4 linked regions of the Astyanax mexicanus genome follow. The protein of the gene in region 1 interacts with the protein of each later gene in a pairwise test. Links are inferred from orthologs where the notes say so. Each region holds a gene or a part of one and is shown in the gene's direction. Other genes may lie near its edges.

Evidence for each region.
Region 2: the proteins of fxr2 (region 1) and rabac1 interact in binary tests that used the Homo sapiens proteins (3 or more experiments, as listed by UniProt). The two-hybrid records come from large-scale screens. The link is inferred for Astyanax mexicanus from reciprocal best matches to the Homo sapiens genes FXR2 and RABAC1.
Region 3: the proteins of fxr2 (region 1) and arl6ip1 interact in binary tests that used the Homo sapiens proteins (3 or more experiments, as listed by UniProt). The two-hybrid records come from large-scale screens. The link is inferred for Astyanax mexicanus from reciprocal best matches to the Homo sapiens genes FXR2 and ARL6IP1.
Region 4: the proteins of fxr2 (region 1) and MAP3K12-binding inhibitory protein 1 interact in binary tests that used the Homo sapiens proteins (3 or more experiments, as listed by UniProt). The two-hybrid records come from large-scale screens. The link is inferred for Astyanax mexicanus from reciprocal best matches to the Homo sapiens genes FXR2 and MBIP.

What each region holds. Positions count from the first base shown.
Region 1 is NC_064415.1:16,169,051-16,176,193, forward strand, and holds the start of fxr2 (fragile X mental retardation syndrome-related protein 2), read left to right. Parts: upstream 1-4,118; 5' UTR 4,119-4,897; coding exon 4,898-4,948; intron 4,949-7,143. UniProt on the Homo sapiens protein: mRNA-binding protein that acts as a regulator of mRNAs translation and/or stability, and which is required for adult hippocampal neurogenesis. Specifically binds to AU-rich elements (AREs) in the 3'-UTR of target mRNAs.
Region 2 is NC_064413.1:5,389,705-5,396,894, reverse strand, and holds the start of rabac1 (prenylated Rab acceptor protein 1), read left to right. Parts: upstream 1-4,176; 5' UTR 4,177-4,290; intron 4,291-6,322; 5' UTR 6,323-6,324; coding exon 6,325-6,395; intron 6,396-7,058; coding exon 7,059-7,190. Other genes in the region: dedd1 (death effector domain-containing 1), read right to left, coding at 1-381. UniProt on the Homo sapiens protein: General Rab protein regulator required for vesicle formation from the Golgi complex. May control vesicle docking and fusion by mediating the action of Rab GTPases to the SNARE complexes.
Region 3 is NC_064426.1:19,378,849-19,386,489, reverse strand, and holds the start of arl6ip1 (ADP-ribosylation factor-like protein 6-interacting protein 1), read left to right. Parts: upstream 1-4,632; 5' UTR 4,633-4,739; coding exon 4,740-4,784; intron 4,785-7,395; coding exon 7,396-7,529; intron 7,530-7,641. UniProt on the Homo sapiens protein: Positively regulates SLC1A1/EAAC1-mediated glutamate transport by increasing its affinity for glutamate in a PKC activity-dependent manner.
Region 4 is NC_064421.1:23,788,492-23,795,355, reverse strand, and holds the start of MAP3K12-binding inhibitory protein 1, read left to right. Parts: upstream 1-3,843; 5' UTR 3,844-3,897; coding exon 3,898-4,059; intron 4,060-5,493; coding exon 5,494-5,610; intron 5,611-5,738; coding exon 5,739-5,969; intron 5,970-6,864. UniProt on the Homo sapiens protein: Inhibits the MAP3K12 activity to induce the activation of the JNK/SAPK pathway. Component of the ATAC complex, a complex with histone acetyltransferase activity on histones H3 and H4.

The sequences.
Region 1 (7,143 bases):
AAAGAACACTGCACTAACCAGCAGGACATGCATGTGTGGCCTACTGCATTCAATATGGAGTTGCTTGTCTAGCAGATACTGCCGGTTACTGCACTGCACTGTTCATTATGTGTGGTAATGGCTTATGTGACGTACTCCCAGTGCACATATGATACATACTGGTGATCAAGGAATCATAAATGTCTATCTTAAACTCTTATAGCTGATGCCATCTTGCTATGAGCATGCTGGCCAATGTTCAACCTCAATTACAAGATAACACCTCACAGTTTTTGAAGGTGTGAGTGTTCCCAAACGTCCTCTGAGGTAACACTTCAATTAGTAATTTGCATATGCTATCTCGTGACTTTTGGCATGTCAGTGTTAAATGTCTTTCGGCTAAAGGTCCCCATATGTTCGCACAGGACGACATTTAAATGACTACTGCTCTGACACAAATTGTAATTTCGCATTTTGATTTGCAGTGTAATCCAAGATTTGTTATCCAAGGTTGTCTTCTTAAAATTTTCCATTTTACTCTTTTGGTTATTGGACTTACTGAAAAACATCACTTCATGATAAATCACTGATTTTCAGATTAGCCTATAAAAACCCACACCTAGACATCTGTAGACTGTAATTTTTGAAGGAACGACACAGCAAGGGCTATATTGCCCTCTGCTGGAAAAAAATATAACACCAAAAAACCAGGTTGACACAGCTGGCAGTGAAAAGAACCCTGTAAAAACACTCAGTAGCTTTCTTTTGTTTTTGTTATTTCAGGCAGAGAACACAACTGACATCTGGCTGTGTTTCCCAGCACCTGTTTTACCCTGTGAGCTTTTCACAGACGCTTGAAATACTGAAACACACTGAAAACCCTACTAACCATAGCCAACACAACATATCTAACCTTCTACAGGTCTTCTTTAGCAAACCTTTCAAACATGCGTTGATTCAGCTCATAGTCGCATTCACACGTCATTACATGTGTGCCACATAAAACTGTCATAGTATCTGGACCAGATGACCTCTAACCTGACCTCTTAACTCTGCCGTCTTCAGCTGTTCCGAGTAGCCTGCTTCATTTTACCACTTAGCCTCTTCACATATGTCCCCTCCTCACTCATCTACTGATATTCTTACTCCATTAATGTCCCCATAATATATTTATTATGATAAGGAAATAAATTAAAGGATTTTATGTTATAAGTTGTACATTCCATCTATTGTTTTTGTATGGAAAATTATTAATCCACTGTGGTCAAATGATTAGATGTAATATGAAGAATTAAAAGTTAGAAAAAAAATAGCCATCTTAGCCATATGAATGCAAACTTATGTGAGCCAAAAGAAACAAAACATATATAAGATATGCCATAACATCTCTATGCTTCTCACTCTGAATATACCTAATACTTAAACATTATTTACAATCACAATTACAAACTATGGGTCAGTTTCCCAGACAGGAATTAAAGCTGGTCTAAATGGAGATTATTAATTAAAAATTAAATATAGTCTATGACTAGTTTTAAGCCCGGTCTGGGAGACTGACCCTATATGGACTAAAGTATTGAGACACTTTCTCATTTATTATTTCTTCTGAAATTAAGGATATTAAACAATTTACTTTAAGTTAAATAAAATAAACAAGAGGACAGCAAACCCACTACATACCGCCTTAAAGGCACCTCAAAAAACAACAAAAAAGAGTTGCAGCCCGGTAATTAACAACTGACAATAACCCAGTTACATTAATATTCAAGTATTCGTGTTAAATCCTATTGCACTAATGTCAATTAGAAAATATACCTTGTTGGTTGTCTTAATTAAAACAATATTGTCTAGGTAGAGTCTGCAAACATCTGAAATAGTATACAACAAATAAATGAACAACTGTTATATGCAGGGTAGCTTTAATAAACAAATATGGATAGCTAGTCTGCGTTCTTTTTTATTATTACTGTTTTCATTTTATTTACCAGTATAAGTATTAGAGCCCCTTCTCATTCATTGCTTCTTCTGAAATGAACCCAGTCAGCATTTAGTACAATATGAACCAATACTACTAAATGGCCCCAAAAGATATACCTTAACGTGTCATGGTAGTACCATGCTAATAAAGTGTGTAACTTAAAGTTTGTACTTGTACCATTACAACCTACATCCTTAAAACCATAACCACCCAACAATTCTTGTTTTTCTTGATTCTCAGAAAGTTATTTGCCATGAGGTGCCATGTTGACCTACCAGTGAACAGTATGAGAGAGTGTAAGAGCAATAACATCAAATTAAACACACCTGCTTCCCCTTCACACCTGAGGTCTTGTAACACATGCAACAGGCACCAGAAGAGGAAAATTGGGAACAATTTGGTAATTTTCATTTAGGGATGTGTGATAGGAAAGGTAACCATAAAGTCACCTTTGAAAGACACTTCTCAAAGACATTTTTCACTTTTAACCAAAAAGACTAATTATAAACTTGAAAGTGATACTTACCTGTGTCCCTAGGGAGTGGCAGCATGCAGCATCCAGTAAACCTGAAAAAGAGTAAATGCTAATTATTGCATTTTATTATGTCACTCTATGTTTTACTTACCTGTGATATATGTAGAAGATGCATGCTGTGGAAATGATTATGTAAATAGTTAATTGCATTTTTATTTGTAATTGTTGTTACATTTTAGAGAATGTACTCCTGTTGGTTTAGTCTATGAATTCTAATAGGCTACAGTAAGGGTACAGACTGAGAAAAATCATAACAATTGAGGTGACCAGTTATATAAACTATGCTTGTGCTAGTTAATGAACCGTGTACTTATTACATGTGCAGTACAATGCTAGCTAATTGCCTCAAAGTGTATATCCCAAAGCATGAGCTACTCACCTTATTACCACGTAGCCATGTAGCCAGTCTTAAAAACAAGTACTAAAGAAATAAACTCTGTAACTTGACATTGTTCGGATAGCTTTATCTTCGTCTTTTAGCATTTATATTTTTACATACTTTACAAGATTTTTCAGCATAAACATTTTAATATGACATTATAGTCATTAAGATTTTTAGAAAAATGTTTTTTTTTTGGGAGGGGGTTATGCACTATAGTTTCCAGTGGTGTGGCTTAAGCTTTTGTTCTTAATGTTATACTTTAAGCAGTTTTAAAACCAGAACTTTTACAATTCTTTCATAATTCAGCTTCCAAAATTCAGCTTTAAACCCTAGTATCTATACTTATAGCTGCATAATGAATTGTGACACCTTTGGCACTTACTACATGTCCAGTACCGTGTTAAAGTGTGTGTTTACTACATGTCCAGTACCATGTTAATGAAGTGTGTACTTACTACATGTCCAGTACCGTGTTAATGAAGTGTGTACTTACTACATGTCCAGTATCGTGTTAATGAAGTGTGTACTTACTACATGTCCAGTATCGTGTTAAAGTGTCTTTACTACATGTCCAGTACCATGTTAATGAAGTGTGTACTTACTACATGTCCAGTAACGTGTTAATAAAGTGTACTTACTACATGTCCAGTACCGTGTTAATGAAGTGTGTAAGTTACTTACTACATGTCCAGTACCATTACCGTGTTAATGGAGTGTGTATTTATGACCATATAGCCATGTAACCAATCTAATAAACAAACGCTAAGCTAATAAAGTGTGTTTCTCAAATTCGCTATGTACCTCAGCATTGTGGAAATAAGGTTCGAGTGGCTTTATGAGGCCATATGGCAATACTACAAGTTCACCTGCCAGTTCAGCTGCATTTATCTTTTAATGAATCTCTATAAAATAAGAAAAGGAGCATAATGAAAAATAAATAGTCTCAAACAGTCTAAAATAGGTCGTGTTTGTTATTTTTCCCAGCAGTAGAAACACGTCGCACACACAGGCTTTTGTGAATTGGCGTGGATAGTGAAAAGAGTCGCCTAAATTTAGTAAAGAAAAACTACCACCAATCAGCAGCGCAGGCACTGGACTTCGTGTTGACCCGGCCTCCGGCATCTCCACCAATGAGGAAGGACTTAGTTTTAGATGGATACGTGCCCTGACCAATGAAAAGGTTTAGTCTCCAGTGAGGGCGGGCTTTCCAGTAGTAGGGGTGGGCATTTTGGGGTCATTCACACTCTCGCATTTTCACTCTGACGGCGTGCGTTCGAGGGGACGGGCAACGGGGGTTAAAGGAGTTGCCGGGCGGTAGCAGAGCACAGCGGGTTTGGGGTATTTTTTTTAAGCTGATAGCGCTGCTGTGTGGAAGATTGGAGCCCGTTAGAGTCCAGACTGCTCAACAACACAGATACATGCCGCGTAGCGTAACTACGCTAAGTTCGCTATAAGAGCCCGGTAACTAAGGAAGGAGGTGTTAGCTTTAACCTAGTGATAGAAAGAAAGCTATAGCTAGCTTAGCTAGCTAATTAGCCGCTGACTTAGTTAGTTAGCTAGTTAGTTGAGTTAATATGCTAGCTAAAGCTAGCTAGCTAACACCGCCTCTCCATCACCCTCAGCACCCCAGCACAGCCACAGCAAGGGGGGAGCGTGGCCGGCTACACAGCCGAGTAGAATAACAGCTAGCTAGCTAGCTAGCTAGTTAGCTAACCTAGCTATTGCGATAGCCTGTAACGGTAAAATAGCCTTCTAGCTAACAAGACCGTTAGATTAGTTAGTTAACTAACTGGTTAGTTCGCCAGTTAGCGGTTGTAGAGTTATTAGTTAAAGCAATTGAGGGTGGGTGTCTTTCTGCCCAAACAAACCTTCTGCTGCTCAGCCTCCCCCTCTCTACCCATCATCTCTACCCCCTGCCTCTCCACCCGAAACACTGGAAATCCTCAAGCGGCCGGAGAGCGGCGGAGGGCCGGCGAAGCTGGGGGTGCTTCCCGACTCTCAAAGCGGCGCTGCGCCGGCAAACATGGACGGACTGGCGGTGGAGGTTCGCGGCTCTAACGGGGCCTTCTATAAGGTAAATAGACCGGAACACACTCAGCTAAGCTAGCCAACATGCTGTCCTCAATCAAATGTGTGAGTCTGCAGCTTCATCTGAGACACCTAGGTTAGCTATCTAGCTAACTAGCTACATGCACTTACTTGCACTACTCTAAGCTCTAACCAAGAAGGCCCCTAAATGCATAAATGAATGGCACGAGGTTTGGTTTTACAGTCTTCTAAAGAAGGGCCAAACAAGAAAAACATGATGATAATAACGATGATGATAATTATGATGGTGATGTATCTCAGCAGCTCCTGGCCTGTATCTGCTAACCTATGTGTTATCATTTGTTTCCACTGGTCAGATTTGGCTGGCTAGCTTGCTAACAGCTATCTATCTAGGTTATGTTAGCCATTGTGGGGCACGTTGGTTTGGTTTGGCAGGACTCCTCCCGAATTTATTTTTCTTCTCCTCTCCCTCTTCCTCAGTATCCAAACACTGAAATACTACATGCTAGCTAGTTAGGTTAGTTAACTTGCTAATTTGCTAGCTAACTAACTAACTAGGTGAGGTGGGTACAAAACAAAACCGCCTTCTAACTGTTTCTGCCATGTTACATAGGTCGTCTCAGGACAGAAAGGCTTGTTATTGGATGTTTTTCCTCCAGTTTAATAATAATAAAGCTAGCTTCTAGCAGTCTGAGAGAGTGACCCATCAGCAGTGGTCTCAGGATCACAGAATGTCTGGTCACATGTCAGTTTGCTTTGGGTCAGTCCAGTCTGGTGAAGAAAGTCAGAGAGGTGTTTGTTGTCGTTAGTGGTGTAGTTAGCTTTTTAAGAAAAGAGCTGCGTCAGGTAGCCTAGCTGTTAGCAATGAGGGTTTTGTTTATTTGCTTGTTTTGTACACTGGCTGGTTGTCCTAGTCTAGCACAGTAGGGTGGGCCTAGTTTGAGTCAGAATCAAGTCATTTTAGGTCAGCCAGGCTAAGACTGAAGTGATGAGGTTTGCTCACTTTAAGTAGTAGGCTATGAGTGTCAGTTATGATCTGAAGTGAATATTTTCAGAATGATACCCTCATATATGATGATATCTTTCAGATGTGTCTTTAAGGAGCACACTTAATCCAATGGTTTGGCACTGGCTCTCCATTTCAGGCCTCCTGGAAGCACAGAGATCATACTCATGTGTATCTTTGGACTGGTTATGTCACAGGCTTCGTGTGTGCAGTAGTAGTAATGGTGTGGCACACGTTTTACACCCATGGTTCTCTGAAGGTTTGACTGAGGGAACAGAGCAGGTGGAAGAAGAACAGGTGATATCAGGCCTGACACTCAACACTCTCTGTCTTTCTCTCTCCATCCCCCTCTCACACTACTGCTTGGTGGAATCCCCCCTGTTCACTTGTTTTTAATTCAGTTCCAATCAGTGGAAGTAACTTTTAGCTACACTTAGTTATTTTTGAGCGGCTCATTTTTGCTGCCGATTTCCCCCTCTTTTCTTTCTATCCATCTTTTAACAATTTGTTCTCAATGCTTCACTTTACTTTTCTTTCTGACTTTTCTTCATCTCATTTACTGTTTCTTTTCATCTGAATCTTAGGGTAAACAGGAAGTTGTGCTTGTGCTCAGATAGACTGTAAATATTGACCCTATGCAATATTACATTTTTTGTATTTATCCTAATTACTATTACAGAAGAATGTAATGCATTTACTGAGTGTTATCAGTTTAGTAAAATAATTATAATGCAGGTGTTTTTGTGAATTAACCCAGCAGCATAGATGTTTACTGTCCTATATATTTAAGTTTATAATCAAATATTGATTTTAATTATTGATCTATGCATCAGTCTTCCAGTAGCCAATCAGTCAGCCATCTCATTTTTACTCAGACATTCATTGAGGAAGACCCTCATTTTCAGTAATGAGAGTATTGTGTATTGTGTTTTTATATAATAGTTAGTTAATTCATTCCAGGTTTTGATGGATAGCTTGAAAGAGAACTGCAATTTAGAATTTATTTCAAAGTGTCTATTTTTCAGTCCCTGATACTCATTCACACACATTCACTCCATTCACTACGGGGTGTCAGCTGAATTGATAAGCATGGTGAAGCAGATTTGTCAAAGAATCGGCTTCCTTCATCTTTTAAGTTTTGTTTTTCTGGAATTAAAATAAAGCCAGACTTGTCGTGCAGAGTTTTGGGTAAGGGTTTCCCAGGCTGAAGTGCC
Region 2 (7,190 bases), on another chromosome or scaffold:
CAGGTTTCCTTCATGCAAAAATCCACGTCTCTCCATTTCCAGCAACAGTTCCGTGCCACTTTTGGGTCTGTGACGGCCGAAGGCAAGGCAGAAGTCCCCTCGCGGGCATATTCTGCGCCAAGCCTCCAAAAGACGCGGGCAAGGAGAGTTTGAGGGCACATCGGAGTCCGGAGAGACTTCCTCTGTCCATCCCTCTGGATCAAGAGGGTGCCTGCCTGGGTAAGCTTCGTCGAGAAGAAATGATAGCACTTCAACGTCGGATTCTGTTAACTGGGAACCCACAATCTCGAAGACTTCATGAAGAGACAACATGTCATAATAGCTCAGGCAGTCTGTCTCCTCCCAGTGCAGGGAGTATCTCGGGCAGCGGACTGTTGCCATGATTAGCTGGTTACCAACAAGTGTCTGCAAGTTTCTGCAACAGAGAAACATGTTAATAATAATAATAATAATAATAATAATAATAATAATAATAATAATAATAATAATAAATAACATTAATAATATTAATATTAAAAATAATAACAATATGCAACATAATCGTGTATAGGTCCTACGATTCTGCAAAATTTTGTGTTTCTATGTCAAAAGCTGTGGGAGGAGTAGGGTTACAAAAAGGGTGCAATAATAATAATAATATTAATAATAATCATAATACGAAGAACAGCATGTAAATAAAAACATAATAAACACATACACACACCAAACACAAACTCCACCACTTAAGGTAGAACTGAAAATGTAAAATATCATGCTGTATGACTGCAAGAGGAAACTTCTCTTAAGCAGATGACACGTCAAAATACGACTCATGGACCAAACATGCCCAGTCTTCCGCACTGCCGGTGTTCTGTCGAGTCGCGATACCCATCAAAACGTGCTACTTAAAGGTTCTGCGCATGCGTTAATTCTCTTTTTTTCTATTTTCACGTGTTTTCCTGATAATGATGTTTTTCTTGGGATTTTTTTGCTTAAGTTAGATATTTTTTTTACAATAAAAATATAATAAACAATAACTATAAAACAGATTCTAATCACATATATTTGCCAAGACTTTAAACGCGAGAATGATGTATTTTTCGTAATGTTTACCTTTAAATACACTAGGGTAGCATGTTTTGACAAGGTGGCACAAAATGACAGAACACCGGGTTACATCACGGTTCTAGTGCACGTGTACAAATTGCGTAATGTCACGTTTCAGCTGTCACTTGTAACAGCTGTAGCTAAAGTTGCTTCTAAACACAACACTTAACTCAAAATTACCTCGCGTTTCAGCGTTTTGGAGCGAAATAAAAGCGGACGAGTTCATGCAAGTCGGGCTACAAAGCTATCCGCGCGACCTGCTGTGTCAGCAGTGCTGTATTCACTTTGATTACGGTACAAACTCATATGTATGTTAAGCTTAAAGCGTATATAACACTTCTTAATTTTATTAGTAATACAACAATACAACAATAAAAATTGACAGAGCCACAGCAACGCTTATTTTTGAAGTCAAAAGACAAATTAACTTTTATTTATTTTATTTATATAAAATGTATTCACCTTTTTCTTTCTGTCTCACACTCGCGTTGTCATGCACACAAACACACACAGCGGACTGCATATTTTCACTCAAGCTGTTGAGTGTGGAATATGGAGCTACACTAGTGTTAATTTTCTCCATTCAAAATCACATTTACACTAAGTAACTCAGCATATTACAATAGTCTATTCTACACTGAGATATTATTATACAGTAACAAAAATGGACACAGTTTGCCAGGTGTTTATCACCATACACCATTATTTTTGCCCCTTCCCAAAAATACAGTTAAGTACCAGCATTAAAAAAAAAATCATGATTTTATCCACGATTTAGTCACACAATATTGTTGTGATTAATACAATTATTTTAGGGGTTGGCACCAATAATACAAATCTGAGTGTTTCTAACATTGATTACTTTATTCACATGTGAATACCCATTATGAGGCTGTGTGATTTATAAAGATTAATCTTAAAATTCTATTGTAAATAATTCGATTAATATTTTAAATGAGGGTTTGAAGTTCTTATATGATATAACCTAGCTTAGCTAGCTAACCTAGTAACGAACTAACTAACTAACTATACAATAAAATAACTAGCAAGGAACAGGTAACTTACCATCAGTTCCATGCTAGCTAGTAGGACAGGGTGACATTTAAAAAATACTAATTTTGATATTTTCCAAATATATAATCGATTTTCAGTTATTATTTAGATTTTAACATCAGTTTTCACTTAATGTGATAAGTAAGCTATTGTTTCCTTTACATTTCGTTTATTTTTTATTTTAGGAAATAGTAAACAACCCCCTTCAACCTTCCTTTAACATTAGCTTTTTTTATTTAGCTTTTATATACACGGTGCAAGCATAGTCCTTGTATTTCAGTTAAGGAAAAGTGTACAGTAAAATAGTTTTTTTTCTGACAGAAGCAACTGTCTATCTACTGAGATTATCTCTGGTAACGATAGCTCATATGTGTAAGTATGTATAAAATAGTAACTTAGTTAAGATAATTCGATTATTCATATTAATTCAAATAATCTCCCAGCCCTACTAACTGGCTAGGTTAGGTAAGTTAATTAATTACCCAGCTAGCCTAGCTATGTAACGTTACTGTAGTATTTGGCTAATGCTAACGATATATTACACACTAACTTGACTATTAGGAGCAGTTCCATGAATTTAGTTAAACTAGCTAGTATTTTTAAGCGATAATTCTCATATTTTTACAGTTTCCAGCAACACTCCTCATTCGAGAACATTCCGTTTTTCGGTTTTACATCGGGAATTTCCGGCCTGTCAGGCTTTATAATCGAACTGTTTAGACAAAGTCGGTTATTTTAGATTCCTTTGAGTTATTATTGCATGTTTATTAATGGAAATTATCAACAAAACCGACGACAGTTCTCTAAATAGAAGGTTTACCGAGGTTAAGGGATATCAATAAGGCCCCTGTGGACTAAGCTAGTTACGCTAGCCAGCTACACTTCGCCTGACACTTCTGCCTGCCTTAGCTTAGCAACAGAAAAACAACCCTAACCAGCGCAGCCGTCGACGGACCACACAAAAATACCGATTATCAACACTAAATATACACTAATATTAAAGTTCACCCCTCTTTATTCGGTACAGAAATGATATAAACCTTATTTTACCACACTTACTTAGGTCAAAGCAAGAGGACGCCCACGGTCAGCTTTCTCAAAACATCCCTTCACTAGCTTAGCTACAACGGGGCATACAGAATAACAACACCGAACAGCCAATCACAGCGCGCACAGCACACGCACCGTGACGTCCCACACACCGCGACCAATCACAGAGCGCTCTGCACCTTTACATGTGTTATTTTTCAATATTTTTATTGTATTTAATTTTTCGCTGATAATAATTGATGATGTACAGTATGTATACAGTACTAGTCAAACGTTTGGACAAACATTTTCTCTTTCAGTGTGTTTTAGTTATTTTTTATAATAATTACAAAACACTAGACTGTTCTAATAGTAAAGCTGAGCTGCAGTAATCAATAAAAATTTGCAGACTTTACTGTTTTTAAAAATATCTAAATATGTGTGGACGGGCCTGAATGAATACCATCTTTGAGGGCTATGTCTTATACAAAGCCCTGCATGTATTTGGCCAAATTTTTAAATTTTATTAAATTTTAAGAATGGGTTTCAGACTAAAAATCTTAACATAATTTTTAATACACTTGAAAAATTTTGTAAATGTAATAGTTTGCTTTTTTAATGTATATACATATTGTGTACACCTTAATGCTAGTGGGGAAAAAAACTACACACTTTGCTTTTACCAAATTGAAAAACTCTAAAATATAACCAAGAAGAAGATGGATGATCATGAAACTATCAAACCTTCAAACTAAGCTGAACTGCTTGAATTTGTGCACCAGGAGTTGCATAAATTTATCCAAAAACAGTGTGTAAGACTGGTGGAGGAGAACATGCCAACATGCATAAAAAAGTGGTCTCTCAATGTTTTACAGAACTGTATATTTTCTATCAAGACAAAGTATAATATAAAGCGTATTGCTTAAAATACATTTGATGGAAATACAGAGAAAGTATATTTAATGTATATTTTCGTAAAGTATAGTAGGCAACACTACTTATACACAGGTACTTACCGCAGATGGCAGTGTTCAGTATACTATACTCACTGTTATAGTAGAAGAAGCAGCAGCTCCACATCATCTGCCAGCAGAGCACAATATAAACAGGACCAACATTACAGTAAGAAGCGATTTTCTCTGCATTCTGTACGATTTAAAACCATTTTAATGTGTAAGTTATATATTCTTATAAACTACTTGCGTGTATAGTTATCTATTACATGCCCAGCTTTTATTGTGTAATATTACAGGGTGTAGAGCTAGTAACGTTAAGCAAGTTAGTTATTAGCTTAGCCTCGGTGGTTTAACGCAAAACTAATCTAAAAAAAAAAAACAGTAAAAAAAAAAAAGTTTAATTTTAGTTAATTTGGTAAATTAGTGACTTAAAATAGTCTTAAAAAATTGTAAAATTGTATTTTTGCCTTTCTTATACGGTTCTAAAGGGCTGGGCATGAAGTGACAAAGATTTTCCATTAGCACACGTAGACGTGGGTAAGCCAGGTCCAGAAAGTAAAGATCCAACCCAGGGTTTTCCACCAACTGCAGAGCCGCACAGGCCGTCGGTGCAAAACCATGGGTTGGGTTTTCACTTTCTGGACCTGGGTTACCCACCTCTAGACACGAGCTAACCAGTTAGTAGTTCGACTTGTCCATCTTAAATGGGGCAGGAGTTAACGTTACATTCAGGCGTCTACATTTGAGGTGGAACGGCACATTTATTTTGCAAATATTTTTAATTATCTTGCCTTTTCCTCCTGTTTTAAAATTAGGCATATAAAAGCAGCTAGCAAATAATAAAAAAAAACAAAAAATAAAATAAAAAAAATCTTATTTTACCTGTGTAATTTTATATTTTGTATATATGCTACTAGAGTTAAAGTAGAAATACACAATATTTTGACAAGCAGACAAAACAGAAAAAGCTGTGAAAAAATCTGTGATTCTGCTATTCAAATACTTTTTATTCAGTACAGTGATTTTTTATTAATTTCTTTGTGGCATATGTAATTAAAGAATATAATTAAATTTAAATGTATCTATATTTATGTATAACCCAGCAATAACGTAGTGTACGTTCAACAGGTTAAAATAAGCTTAAAACAAAAGCTGTGTATTGTTCCTTGAATGGTCAGCTTCCTTTGTGCTTCCTTTATTTTAATTTAATTATTTTTATTTCATTTTTTTGCACAATGTAACATCAAGAAATTATTTTTGCATAATGTAGTGGAGTAAAATGTAAATTTAAAATCGTAGTGGATAGAAGTTAAAAGTGACCCAAAATGGAAATATTTAAGTACCCACTAATTCTAGAGACACAGCCAAGAGCATGTAATATTAAAGCTGTCAACTAAATTAGGACTTTCTCTTGTTCTCTTAGTTGTGTACTTTCCAGCGGGCTAAGGTGCTGCCACTATGATCGGGAGATTGCTGGTTCGAATCTCGTTAATGTAGCTTGCCATCAGCTGCTGGAGTCCTGAGAGAGCACAATTGGCCTTGCTCTTTCTGGGCGGGTAGATGGCGCTCTCTCCCCACATCACTCCAAAGAGTGATGTCAATCAGCACAAGGCGTCTTCTGTGATCTGATGTATCAGAACCGAGTCACTGCGCTTTCCACTTTGAGTGTGAATTGTGTGGATAAAAGTTGCCTACTAACAAGGCTACAGATGTTTACCAAAAAAAGATAGTCCTCATATAACGGAGAATAAAACTGTTAAAGGTATATGTGATATATAACATTTGTTATATTAATATTCGTAATTAAAATACAATATGTATCCATATATTTGCACTTTAAAGCCGCATTAAAAGCTTGTTGGTCATTTTTAGGAACCTAATGACGTATTTATGATCTCTCAGACCGGTCAAACAAGATTCTTTGCATTCTTTCACAAACCCTGAAAGCTGAATATGGGGTGAGAGGTTTCCATTGACACACCCTTTCTAGCTTTTTATTTAAGGTTATTGAGAAATAGAGGTTGGTGGCCAAGATGTTCTACATTATGAGGTATTGTCTTTCATCTCTCTATGAGACTGTAGCAGGTCCAGTTATATAAGAATACATTTGCATCATGTCTAATTGTGTAAAGTCTGTGTAGGCATTTTACGGTAAGATAAGTATATTTGTTTCTTTTTCTTGGTGTGTTTGATTTTAGAAATGGATTCGAAATTGAGTGACCCCTTCAGCAGCGATTCAGAGGAGCTGCCCGCAGCAGGAATAATGAGCAGGTGAGAAAAATCAGAGTTTAAATGTTTTTGTAGGGATGTATTTCTTAAGCAGTTAGGGATGCCCTAGACTTATGTTTTTTATATGAACCAGCAGCCAAACATGCTTTTCTGCACCCTCTACTGGTGACAGTAGAGGTTTTCTTTACGTGTGTATGTGTGTGTGTGTGTATATATATATTATTCATTTTTGTTTTTATCCAATTAAAAATTTACTAATCTAAAAAATAAATCAACAGATTAATATATTTAGGTAAAAAGCGAAAGTAATGGAAGCAGTTACAAAAACTCACTGTAGCAACAAAATCTAAATATTTGCCAGAATTTGCCCCATTTAAACCTGTGATTACCAGCATTTTGAAAATAAAGTCCCTATGCTCTGTAGGCCACACCCCACATTTAAAGCCTGATTGGACAGCACAGGGGATTTAAACAGCTTGTGTTAATAGTGCAGTTCAGGGACTTATTGGTCTCTGACCTTTATCTTCTACAGAAGAGAAAAATGGGTTGCCAGGTCTCAGGAAGAGATACTGATCATATAAACCCAGTGTTGTGTGGTAACCTGAAATACTGGTTCTTTTCTAATGGTGGTGGTTGTTGTTTTTGCATATTGTAAAAGCGTACCTAACAGATGATGCACGTCGCTCTGTCTTCCTACAATGTCAGGCTGCTGCCCAAAGGCATGTCCGGTAGCATGATGAAGGAATGGCTGGACCGCCGGAGAAAGTCCATCCGCCCCTGGGCCGGCTTCGTGGATCAGCGCAAGTTCTCCAAGCCCAAGAACTTTGGGGAGCTGTG
Region 3 (7,641 bases), on another chromosome or scaffold:
TCCTTCAGCATGACCGGTTTGGCAGTGGGTCAGTAATGGTGTGGGGTGGCATTTCTTTGGAGGGCCGCACAGCCCTCCATGTGCTCACCAGAGGTAGCCTGACTGCCATTAGGTACCGAGATGAGATCCTCAGACCCCTTGAGACCATATGCTGGTGCGGTTGGCCCTGGGTTCCTCCTAATGCAGGACAATGCTAGACCTCATGTGGCTGGAGTGTGTCAGCAGTTCCTGCAAGATGAAGGCATTGAAGCTATGGACTGGCCCGCCCGTTCCACCAGACCTGAATCCGATTGAGCACATCTGGGACATCATGTCTCGCTCCATCCACCAACGTCACGTTGCACCACAGACTGTCCAGGAGTTGGCGGATGCTTTAGTCCAGGTCTGGGAGGAGATCCCTCAGGAGACCATCCGCCACCTCATCAGGAGCATGCCCAGGCGTTGTAGGGAGGTCATACAGGCACGTGTAGGCCACACACAATACTGAGCCTCATTTTGACTTGTTTTAAGGACATTACATTAAAGTTGGATCAGCCTGTAGTGTGTTTTTTCACTTTAATTTTGTGTGTGGCTCCAAATCCATGCCTCCATTGGTTAATAAATTTGATTTCCATTGATGATTTTTGTGTGATTTTGTTGTCAGCACATTCAACTTTGTACAGAACAAAGTATTCAATGAGAATATTTCATTCATTCAGATCTAGGATGTGTTATTTGAGTGTTCCCTTTATTTTTTTGAGCAGTGTATATATATATATATATATAACTAGTCTGCCAAATGTAAACCACACTACAACATTATTACTGTCCTCTTCTCAAAAATTGCTTAAATGTAGTCATGTTTAATCACAGAATATTGTTGTGATTAATAGAAAGGGATTTTAAGACACCAATAATGCAAATATGTGTTTCTAACACTGATTCTTTATTCACATTTTTAAATGCACATTAAAAAGAAGTCTCAAGAAAGAAAGTGCTTAGTCATGATCACATAATTCTGATGTGATTTTCATTATTTGTTTAATTGATTGACACCACTAGTTTTATGATATGCAAGATGTACCTTTTGATGTTATTGGAAGTTTTAAGTTAAACACAAGATTCAAGTTGCTACAGTTGTCATACATTCTTAGGACGTTGCAATAATAAGTAAAACATCTTTTTCCCCTTAGGAATGATATTGGAGGTATTAGGGGTGTCACAATTTTGATATTTCGTCGAAATCGATCGAAATTGTGTCATGGTCTCGAGCCTTGAAGTCAAAAAGAGCATCGACGATCCCTCCCTCTAAGCTACGCGAGCTACGCAAATGGCGCAGCACACTGTAGCCGACGCCGCCGGACATTGTGACTGCTCAAAGAGCAGCCCTTTCTCCAGAGAATGTGGACATTCTCATCTTCTTAAAGAAAAACTTGAAAATATAAAAATAACAGTTGTTTTGTCTAGTCTCAAATATGTTAATAGTTTTGGTACCTTAAGGAGCATCTGTCTCTCAGATAAAGTTAATAATATATCTTTGTTAAAGAAAAAAACTTGTCATTCTCAGGGACTGAAAAAGTCTTAGTCTTATTTTTCATGTTTAACTGTTATAGTAGGATAGAGTTCAGTTTGTAAAGGCTCTAATTGTTCTATTATTTTGTACATGACTGTTCCTGTATTTTTTATTATTTATTTTGTTAAGTTGCACATTTGCTGTTTTAAAAGTGCACACTGCTGCTACCAAAAAAGCCACTACATGGCATTACATATATATCTTAATTAAATTATTTTAATTTGACCATTAGTGCCTAATGTGGTTTATTACAGATCACTTGTATCACTTTGCATCATTTATATCAAGCCCACCTTTTGAAATATTGTAAATTTGATTAATCAAACCAATGGCTGACCATAGACTAATCTAAAACTGGCATAGGCCTCTCTGCTGTACGAAAAAAAAAAGAGAGAATCGCATGAAATCGTGACCATAAAATCGGAAATAAAATCAAATCGAGGATTTAGAGAATCGTGACACCCCTAGGAGGTATGGGTGAATATGAATATAACATGCCTTTTGTGTCTGCAGCATAGTTTTAAATTTAATTTAAACACTGTAAAAATAGATTGTTTAAGATTTACTATGAATAATCACAAACATATTGTTACAAATATAGATTATATGTTCATCTTGACTGTGAAGTACATTTTGTACATTTTATTAGAGGTGTCTTCAACTAAAGATTTTTATAGTCGAATCTGATTCGTCAGATTTTCCCTTTAGTCAACTAATAGTCGAATCATTTTTTTCCCTATAGCACCATAAAAGGGATCCCCATTCTCTTCTGGACTTTTTTTCACTTCAAAGGAAAAAAACTAAAACACAAGTTGGGAAATGTGTTGGCTAACTTTGTTAGACAGGCACTGTGCAAAAAAAGTATACAAAAAAAATTACAAAAAATAAATTATGTAATTTCTATTATTATTAGAAAAATAACAAACGAAAATAAACCCAAAATGTTGACAAAAATATAATCTAACGAATTTCAAAACACAGAAACGAAAAACGTTAAAATGGTATTAATATAAGATGATATAATATAACAGCTGGATCAAACAGTTTAGCGTCAGTCATAAGAAAAGCGCGCGCGGCATAGCGATTAAAAAAAACGTTTTAATAAATAAGGTCCTATCAAGTGAATTAAAATATATGGTATTAAAAGGTATTAAATTCACATATTTATTGTGTTTAATCAAGAGAAATCAGGCAAAATGCGCCGCGACGAGCTGAATTCAGCGCGAGGCTTTAATAATATAAAAACTCAGTTTAGTAAAATAAATTAAGATGAGTGAGGACCTGTAAAGTTAATAAAATATTGTCAAATATAAAGGATAGGTTGAGGTTTTGGGGAGCTGTTTCAGTTATTTTAAACTGAAACTAACTGAAACCGATATTATTCTGCGCACTATTAGATAGCCTTTGATTGTGTTTTAAATGAGTTTTTATTTTATATTAATTATTTTTTATTCATTTTAAATATTTTTAGTATTTTATTGATCAAAGTCTTTTGTATAAGCCTTCATCTCACTGTTTTCATCCTCCGCCTGGTCCTCCTCATCCTCATCACTGACCAGCAGCATAGACATCACTGTGTCTTTATGTCTGGGCACAGTCGGCCCAGCATCCACCACCATGTCACTTTTCTCCAGGGATGATCTGTCAGTGAGACTCTCGGCTAATTCTGCTACCGCTGAACACGCCTCTTCTCTTTGCGCATCAGAGAGAGAGGAGAGCTTCTTAAAGCAAATACACCGGCAGACGCTGACAGCCCTGTAGCGTGTTCAGCTCCGCTCATTTGGATTGTGCAACTGCAGGGGGTGATATATTAATGTGTAAGAAGCCTTTTTGTTAATGCGCACACGTAATTAAAAACAAATAACAGAAATTAGTACGATTTTATTTGACAAAAGGCAATATATTACAAAAAACAAAGACATTTCCTATAACAACTAATGCTTAGCAGCCTTGGGCACCCCCATGCAGTCAGAATAGTACATTCGACTATGAGGTTAATAGTCGAATAGAGGTCCTCCGAATCAAATAATCAAATCAGCGACTATTGCAGGTCACCCCTATTTTATATTTTATATTTATATTCTATTATAACTATTTTATACAGTTTTTTTGTTGTAATTGGAAGTTTAGGCATTTTCAAATATTCATTTAGCTTAACATTTAGCTATTTAATCCTGTCCACAAATTCCCTGCTCATCTTGTCAACTTTGGATAACCCTACTCTGTAAAAAAAAAAAAAAATAATAATAATAATAATAAAATAACCTTTGGTTTCAGTGACATCACAACCTTTAGACTTTTTCTCTATCTTCTTCAAGGGACTAAAGACATTCTGAATTTTCAAAACAGTCAAGATGGTGTTTTAATTTGCCTGTCTTACCATCAAAGTTCTCTTAAAGGTGTTCTAGATCTTATACACAGCACTAAAATCTTGTATCACCAGCTGAATATGATATGCCTTCTTTGTCTCTTTAAATATTGTTTAATTATTAAATTGTCATTATTTTTAAGTACTGTCATTTCTTTATTTTGGGGTGCTAGTCATTTTGAGAAAAAATATTATTTTGAGATGATTTCCCTAAAATATCAGGAAAGTAAGTAAATATTTTGAAAATAAAAACATTATTTTGAGATGATTTCCCTAAAATAACAAGTCAAAATAAGGTGAGTTCCCTAAAATATCAAGAAAGTAACTTATTATTTTGAGAAAAAATACATTTGTAAATGATTTCCCTAAAATATTAAGAAAGTAAGTCATTATTTTGAGAAAAATATATTTTGATATGATTTTCCTAAAATATCAAGTAGTAATTATTAAAAAAAAAGATAATTCCCCTAAAATATCAAGAAAGTAAGTCATTTTAGAAAAAAATTATTATTTTGAGATGATTTCCCTAAAATATCAAGAAAGAAAGTTTGAAACACTTCTCTATATTTTGACATGCATTAGTTATGCTTTTGGAATGTCGTGTGTAACAACGTAACCATTTCGGTTTTTGAATTAATTATAAAAAACTTTTATTCTTTCTTTATCTTTTGTATTTGAAAACCACATTTCCCATGAAGCTTTGCGCTCGAGTTTGAGATAAAAACATCCTGCTTGTAACCGTTAGCTGCCAGTGAGCTGCGCATTTCTCCAGTGAGGCGGTTACTTCTGCTAGCCCGGTGAATTCACAAACACACACACATGGACACCATGGCAGAGGGCGACAATAAAAGCTCTAATCAGCTGGTAGGTGTTCCGGTTTATTTACTCTACAGTGTGGAAACGAGTATAAAGGGAAAAAACTAACTAATTAGCCGGTTAGCTTAGCGCGGACTGTTTACAGCGGGGAGGGCTAGCCGCTCGTATAGCTAACTCCAGCTAGCTGCGCTAGTCCTGTCACTTTGATAGCCAGCGAGCTAGCTTAGGTTAGCCAAGCAGCAAGCTAACTTAGCTGGCTAAATTACTGATGTAAAATATATAGTAGTTTAAGTGTGTTCTCCTGTTTTATTATTAGCTTAGTTTAGCTTAGAATTATTGAGGTTACTAGGTTAGCTAACTGTAAATTAGCTAGCGTTCGCTGGTTAATGTTATAGTGAGCACGGATGCTGGAGAATTTGAGAGAAAAGCTAAAGAGAAGAAGACTTTTTAATCCAAATAACTGATAATGGTCTGATATGTTTGCTATATACAGGATATTTGATATGAAAAATACAATTATTCCTGCCTGCTGTTAAAAGCTATAGTCAAGCTTTATTAGCCAGTTAGTCAACTAGCTAACTAGCTAGTTAGGTTAGGTGTGTCCCCACTTCCCCTATTATTGCTCAGTGAACACATGAACCAAACCCTTGTTCCGTGATAAGATAATAGCCATATAACGCTAGCTCAGCTATGTCGACCACAAATGTACATTTAGCGAGTAACGAGGAATTAGAGTTATTAGCTAGTTAACGCTAGCTACGACGCGTTTTAAACTGACACCACCTCTATCAGTTGACATTTCATTTCCACCTTAAATGTAGCTGCAGTTAACTAGATGCTCAAGCCTCTACAAGCGCCTCAATAAAAGTACTGCATAATTTAAGGTGGAACGGGACATTTAAGTATATCTAAAGCTGCGTAGTCTTTAATTTGGGAGTAGTTTCCTACACGAATCTCACTTTATTGTCGGGTTATAGTGAATCACAATTATCTAATATAGTTAGCTAGCAGCCTTACTGTTAAACATATACAATTTTACAGAGCTGTAGGTTAAATAACCTACAGCTGAGTCAAAGAAATAGCTAGTTAGCCAGCAAGCTATAAGAGGTCTGTTTTTTTAGGCCTCATTCTAAAGCAAGTTTAAGTACAAGATAATCTAAGTAGGTATAAATCAGTAATGATTTAAGTTTTAGACTAATTATTTCATGACCTATATAGTAGCTATCTTGGGCTTAGGGCGGGACTGGGCATCCAGGCTCTGTTTGGCACAGGCCTAGCTTCTGCAGTATGTACCTGAAGTCTGGACCAGATATTGCCTGTATTGATGTATCGTGATTTTTTTATGTGGATGATTTACACTGTTATTTTTTTTGCTTATGGTGTTCTTGCCAATTGATAAATAATAGAACGTTGTAAAATGTTTTCTGCTTAATTTTAACATGCTATTTAAAAATCATTAAAAAACAATGGAATCAAGCCATAGCCCTATCCGGATGGGATTAGTTTCTCAGGGGGACGTTTGTGAAAAATATTTCACACTTTTATTCAGTGATAAAACTCTTGCATCCGGACTGCTATTGAAAAACAGGAGGACCAGTGAGTTTTTTTTGTCTTTTTCGGTCACATTACATTGTGATCAGTAGCTCCTCAATTTCCACTCGCTGTTGTGTTTTTACATGGCTGTCCATTGAAACATGCACCTAAAGTGTAATCCAGTTTGTTGCAGTGGACAAATAGCTATTTTATTAAACGCGAGGTGAAGAAATTCAGAAATGGCGTCCAGACAGAAATAAAATTAACAGACAACCACAGAGTTCAGCGAAAAACAGTAGGTAGTTCAGCCTGTAAGTTTTTCAAAGGATGTCTGACAAAAACACATACATGGTCGTTCTGGACGGGATTATAATCACAGAGGACCCCCATAAATGAGAAAATGACCCCAGGACCCCATGAGAAACTAATCACGTCTGGAGAGGGCTCATATCAGCCTTGTAAGACCAAAGAATTTTGTGATATCATAGCACCACGGAAACATTTATTTGTTAGCCTTATTAATTTTGATATTATAGAAATGATTCATCCCACCTCACTTGTGACTCCTGTGATTTTAAGACAGAGCTAGTGAGTGACAGTGAGGGTGTAATACAAAGATCCTGATTGGCTGTCTTTGTGCTTATTAGTGTTAGTATTGGTGTTTTCTGTTGACAGGATTTACACTCAATCTCTCTCTTTCATAGTGCAGTAGTTCATTTGCAGAGTGGGATGTATGCTAGTAAAAATATTATTTTATTATTATTATTTACCCAGTTTAAATTAGGTTATATGGCACTTTACTGACATTACATTCATCTACGGCTGTATCTGAAGATATTCAGGTTAAAATACATGTATTCAAGCTTTCAGTGACCTGAAAGGATATGCTACATTCTACTGTGTGTTGTTGCAATCATGGCACTGGGCACTGCCCATCCATGGAACAGGACAGAATGTTTTTGGGGATGTAATGCCTGTTATTTATCCCTATTTTACATGCTATACCTAAAAAACAGTACTGTCATATGGCATCACTACCTGCATAAGACAGATCGTGCTCATCCCTCCTATGTGAACAGACTGTTTTCTGTTCTGTTGTTGACTGTAAATGTTGTATGTAATATAGGCCCAGGAGACTGCGCAACTCGAGGAGCAGCTTCAAGGATGGGGGGAGGTCATTTTGGCCGGGGACCAGTTCCTGCGGTGGGAGAAGCCATGGTTCCCCGGTGTGCTGATGGGTGCCACCACAGTGCTTTTCATGTGAGTTAACAGATAAGACACAGTTCACACTGCCAACTCCACCACGCCCACACACTGCAATTAGAATGTGTTGTATAGGCCTCTAGGTTTTTGAACAGAATTATAGATAAAA
Region 4 (6,864 bases), on another chromosome or scaffold:
TTATTGACCACAACACACCATACACTAATCACGAAAAAGACCTTTAAACTGGTAGAGAACCCTTAAATCACATGACAATTCTTAACACTTACACATCTCTTTGACAAAGAGTTCTTTATGGAACCAAAAGTGTCTATTGCATTGCTCAAAGAACCATTTATGTTTTATGGAAACTCAATCCGGATTTAAATGTAAGAGAGAGACAGAAAGAGAGATCAAGAATAAGAAAGAAAGCATGAGAGAGCCTGGACTTCTTTTGCCTGATTAGATAAATGTTAAATTGTCCACAAAAATCCATAGCAATTAATTGCAAATTAGTAAACAAATAATTAAGCACTGAACTGGAAAATTTAATGTGTGCTTTTTATGTTCTAAGGTTCAGCTTGGCTGCATGTCTTGGTTGTAAAAATGAGCAGTATTCTTTGTTTCTGTCTTGCAGTGTGGGAATATTCACTAACTGCAAAATGTCAAAAGATGTCAAGTGTTACAGTTCCTTCCCCACAGTGGAAGAATTAAACGGCACCCCAGAACAAATGGGAGCTGAGGAGTTTGTCTCAAAACCCTTCCTAAAATGATTAACCTGTCCAGAGAACATTAAGAACTGAGTTCAGAACTAAGAGCTTTGTGGTTGATGGCAATTGTTCTTTTTTCTTCCTGTTGTTGCGTTCGTCAGTCTCCCCTCATTATATGAAAAGAAGAAGAAAAATGTATGAATGGCCAAGGGAGATTTTCCCACAGTCCTTCAGCACAGAAAAATACACCATTGTGGGAAGCTTCCCATTCCTAACGTCCTTACACATTTGTTTGACAGTCAGGGTTACTATAAATGGGGAGTAGCCTTTTCAGAGTCTTCTTTGGGTGAAAAAAAACAGATGATTTAGAGAACAGAATCTGACAGCATCACCAAGAGAGTGACACTGGAAACAGTCGATACTGAATCAGTGTCAGATTCATCAACACTCTGTTAAAGGTCAAGATACCTTGATGGACACAGTTCACAAGTTCACCCTATTTAGCAATGATGCCTAGTTGACATGGACAGTCATTAGCTAAAGGAAGCAGTGCCATCACATGACTCAAACAGACAGCTGAATATTACAGGCTACCGATAAAGCACTATGAGATAATGTCAGGATGCAGATTTAAAATAATTGGCCTACAATATTATATCAGTAGATAATAGGCCAAAAATGTTTTCTTGTCTCATAAAGGATTTATACATATTTGAACAGGGAGACACTATATGTAATTCTGCCTCTGTACACCATTTTAACGGATTTGATATTTGCAAAAATATGAAACTGTTAACAGTAAAGCTTAAACCTTTAGCTTTCATTTAAAGAGTTTAACAAAAAACTGCTTTAGCCATTTATTTTAATGTTAAGATTTTAGGATTTATGATTTTAAATAATCCTTCTATTTTTCACAAGCTCAAATATTACAAAACAAATTACAAAATGCTTGTTTTTAATTCCTGAGTTTATATTCTTGGGTTGTTTTAATGTATATTGTGGGTCATTATCTATAGGTGCGGTCACTGCATTTAAGCAGAAAGTAACTCCTCAATTAAAAAAAAAATAACTACTACACCTCAGAACTTATTTAGCTAACAGCTGCTGTATCAAATGACAGTGATCCAGGTAACCACTCATGCCAATGTCATAAAAGACCCTCCATCATATATTTAGATGATTTGAAAGATGCTACGTAATGCAGATCAAGAACTCTTATTAGTGAGTCAAAGAACAAATTAAGGATAATGAGGTAAAAAAAAATCTTATTATGTATCAGGTACAAACAAAAGCAGTATCCATGAATTGCTGAGAATTTGAAGAGACAAGACGGGAAGAGAATCACCAGTTTGTAAGAAATTCTGTGATTTTTTTATTTAAATGTATAAAAGTAATGTTCCGCAAAGAAAGAATGGAAGGAACTTGCATATTTCTCCTTCTATGGTGCATAATATCAATAAAAAATATTAAGAGAATCTGGAGGGGTTTTTTTTTGCATCAAGAATCTGCGTTCAACAAGAGCTAAAAGAATCACATGGGCACAAGATTACTTTTGCAAACCTTTGTTAAGCAATACAGAATTACATTAACAAAACAGAGGTGGAATCAACTTCTCTGGGCTAAGAGTCTTGAATGGACTATCACACAGTGGGGGGGGGGTCAAGTTTTTCTTCGGGGTGTAAACGGAAACAGCGCAGGCGCTTCACTAAACTGAAGTCTTACAATCCTTACAGTGTCTCGCTTCCTTACTGTAATGTCTACAGCACGTAAAAGATAAATCCATTACATTAGCTAATCTAGCACATACCACACAATAACCTATATAGTCATCATACATAATATATTATACAGCAAAATCCACAGTTAATCCTCCAAAAACAAACGCAATGCTATTGGCTGCTATCTTTTATCAGCTTTCTCGCTATTAATTTTTTATTCATATTCTACAGGATCTCTCCCACAGGAATCGTTTGTTATTTAATAAAAAAAAAAAATAGAAAATAACAATGTAACTTAAATCCCTGTAGATAAGGCTTTTGTCCCATCTTATCCACATATTTTGACACTGTGACGACAATATTAAATGTTAAGAGGAGATATAGGAATGCATTTATATAGCTTCGGTAATGCATTTTTTTTAAAAGCTTGGCTATTGGTCATTTTCAAAGTAACCTAATAAAAAGATAAGCTTTTAGTTTCTTGTTCACATTTCCTTTCCACCTTAACAGTTTCCCTGCATTAAAACACACTTTTTAGACTGTAGTAGATGATAAAAGTGTTTTAAGAGTTTTACACATTTCTGCTTAGGGTGTGCAGAAAAAACAAACAGTCCATGTAAAACAGAACGTGGATTCCCATTTGAATGTTCTGTTCCACCTTAAAAGCGCTAAAAATTGTATCTACAGCCTGTGTGCCGCGACAGCAGCATTTAAGGCGGATTGGTAAATTAGCAGCATTTAAAGTTGGATAGCAAATTCCTGTGAGTTATTTATGTAAGGAAAAGTGTGTTTAAAGTGCATATTTAAGAAAGCTAAGTAGATAGCAAGCTACTTACACGTAATGCTGTAGCTTGGGCAGCTTGTGCACCTTAACTTAGACGCAAGTCACCTGACCAATAATGAGCCAGGCAGGTAAACGAGAGGAATGCTTATTAACATGGAATGGTATGATCCACTATAGGGGTGCTTGAACTCCTATTACAATATTCTTCCAGGCATAAATACCCCATACTATCGTTTTTAGCCCTTTAGGGGGCTTGAAGTCGTAATTGGGGGTTGAAGTCTTAAGGCGTTGGCGGGTTGGTGCAGAGAACTGTAGTAAATATAAAAGCACAAAAAAACAATAATCTTTTTGTTGTTACAGCACATCAACTAACCTCCCACAGGAGTATAAAACATAACAAGAGTCCCTTTTGTTCACTTAAGGTTAATATAATAATAATAATAATAATAATAATAATAATAATAATAATAATAATAATAATAATAATAATAATAATTTTGTAGGAATACATATTTTATGTAGTTATTTTTTTTTACTTTAACTCAGTTACATATGTCACTTAGAAACTTTGAGTTAAAACTATGAAAAATGTAAAGTTACAGGTAGGAACAATTTTTTAAAGGATTTGTGAGACATGCGTCACCATGTGCTCCTTTCTAGTTTTTGCCAACGGACCTTTTGCACTTTATTCATATTGCACAGCCCTGGGTTGGAGTAAGTGAGGAGGCAGAACTGGGAAAGACTCACCACTGGTTATTTATAGTACGTTATACTGGAGTTTACTGGTTTCTTCTTCTGTCTTTCGCTCTCTCTCTCCGTCTCCTAGCAGCCACTTCCGGTTGAGTTTCCACCAATCAGCAGCGCGGAGGGACACGGAAGTGCAATGGCGGCGAATGGAGCGGGTCTGCAGTCCAGCGAGGAAAGTAAACAAGAGAGCAGGAGCGGAGAAATGCGCCCTAACGAGGGACCCAACCAGACTCCTAACCAGAGTTTCAGACAGTGTTTCTCCTCCCTGCTCGGGTCTCTCACTGAGCTGGGCTGTGAGGTTGGTTATACTGACGTATTTTTCTAGTTTTACACCTGAATATATATATAGCAAGAGCTGAATGCAGTTTATTACCGTAACTACAGTCGTTTGTCGCTTCAAATACAAATATACCCATACACACAGACAGCGCCTGGACTCAGGGTGTAGACGTGCTGGAAATCTACACCCGTGTACACGCTGTCTGTTAGCTTTTTAGCTAGTTATGTTCTTACAAACCAGGACTGTGTACTGGCAGCTAGTTAAAACACTGCTGCAGATTTCCTGCACGTGTGTGAGGACTGGATGTTCAATACACAGTGTAAAGGAGAAATCCTTTGTGAAATAGACTTGAGTTGTAGTGAAACATGATAAAGATTACAAACCTTTGTTAAATAGTCCAACTCGGTTCACCCCCAGCATTCTGAAAGGCAGCACTTTTAGCCGAAGCTCCCAAAAGGCTTACAGTGCTAGTGATATGGCACAGCATTGCCCATGCAGAGAAATCACTGTTTTTACACCATTAACAAGCTTAAAATAGCTGCACACTTCATTGATAGAATTCTGAGCGCCCTGACATTTAAAACGAGGCACTGAGAACTTTGAAAAGTGCTCAAGGGGGCTTTAGTGCTGCCACTATGATTGCCACTATGTGGCATATGTGCTTTTCTACTCGACATCCGGATGGGTGGGACAGTTGTCAAAACAAAACTAATTTTTAAAGGAGCTAGTTTTATGCTCTTAGGATGTTCTGTATATGTCACTTAGGAACTTCATGAGTTAAAAGCTAAAATAAATTAAACATTACAGGTTGCAGTAGAAACAAATTTTAAAGGGTCTGTGACATACATCACCATGGGCTCTTTTGGCATAAACAAGTTTCCTGATCTCAAAATATGGGTTATCATTTTACCTACAATGTGTAATTTATTATCAGTATGTTTTACACAAACAAAGATAATTGTTAATCCTGATATTGATTTGAGGTCATATCACCCATACCACAATACCTATTAGTGCAGGTTGGTGTGCTTGGCTGGCCAGGTAACTTAACCCTAGTCTGTCATGGGCAATGTATTTTTAACTGCTACATTCTTTTTTTTAATCTAATATTTTTGTTTTTTTCTGCCCTTTACTATTTAGTACCCCTGATGTCTATACATGAGTGTAAAAAGCTGGATGCTTCAGATTGGCTTGAAAGATTAAAATTAATTACATAGTATGTTAACATCCCAAAAAAGTGGTTTAAGTCTGGTAACATTTACAATACTATATAGTTCCCATTAGTGTATTAATCAGGTGAATCAAACAAGCTGGAGTTTGGTAGACATTGTTTTTGTACATAGTACAAAAAGGGAGCTGGCATTTATTAACCTTGTTACCACAAGTTTAAATTAAATGGTAAATATTTAGACACTAGAATTATACTTAAGCTCCTTGGTACTTGTTTTCCAGCTAAAATTATGCACCAGCGTTTTAAGCATCACTGCCAACGTGAATGCAGTTAATGTTGCTGACCTGAAACCATCCCATGTGTACAACTGTTTACAACAACACATCTCCAAGTTACAGGTAAATACATTTTATGACATATTCCCAGAAAAAGACTATTGTCATAGTCAAATCAGTCATTCAGTACGGTCATTGGGTACGGTTTACCAACTGTAGCTTTTTATGGGGTTTGTTTGTGTGTTTTTCAGCTAATATCCTCAAACCTGAAACATATTGTGGAATTGGAAAATCAGTCTACATCAGCCAGTAGAGAAACAACCAGGAAATCCAGCAAAGAGTTGGTAACAACATCTGACCAAGAAATGGAGATAGACCCAGGGCAAATTTCTACCACATCACAAGACCACACTGCCCTTAAAGACACTGCGAAGACCCAGATTGATGACAGCAGTATTCAGATTAAAGCTGGCAAGGCTGAGGTAAAATATTTGCACATCTTATGCACAATATAGCAATGCATTGATTAGGAATTATGCAGAAAGTGGCTCATTGTTGCTCGTTCTGGTATAATAGCTTTAGTGGAGTTATTCGTAACTGATTTAGAATTTAAATTATTTTGTAGTAGAAATATTTAAAAATGATCATTTAAAATGGATCACTAAATAAAAATTGTCTGATGTGCATTCCATTTGAGTAGATTAAAATGAACAAAGTAAACATTATCTATGTGAAATATATATTTTTATGTGGCCCTATTTGTATCATGTACATCATGTGACTTAAAGAAAGAAAATTCAGACAGTAAGGCAAAGTTATTTATAAAAATATGGAATGCAGAGTTTTGCCATCCTGTGTGAGAATCTACTGAAACATGGTAAAGCCTCAGCATAAAAAAACTTTCTAAACTGCAGTTAGTCAAGAGTGGAATGTTACATTTAGCTCTGTTCATTTAGCAAGTACGATAAATGCTATAGCATGTGGACCAGAGTTTTCAAGTTTTCATATGCAAAGGCAATAAATTAAAGTAAAAAAAAAAAAAAAAAAAACACTGTTTACAATACAAAAAGCAGAATTTGTAATTTTTTTAACATTTTACCTTACATGCTGACATGGACAGCCACAAGAGTATGGAGACAACTCAAAAACACCAAACAGACCATGTCAAAATAAAAGTAACTAATGCAAAAAAATAAAAATAAATAAATAATAAATAAATAAATAATTAACATAAATATTAACACTCAAATATTTACAATCACCCTGAAATCTGGAGACTTTTTGTAAATGGTGGGAAGGACAACTCGGCATCATAATCGGCCCAGTTATCCTGTAGTGTGGGCCAGGCAAAAAGGGGATTAACTGTGATGTCATAAA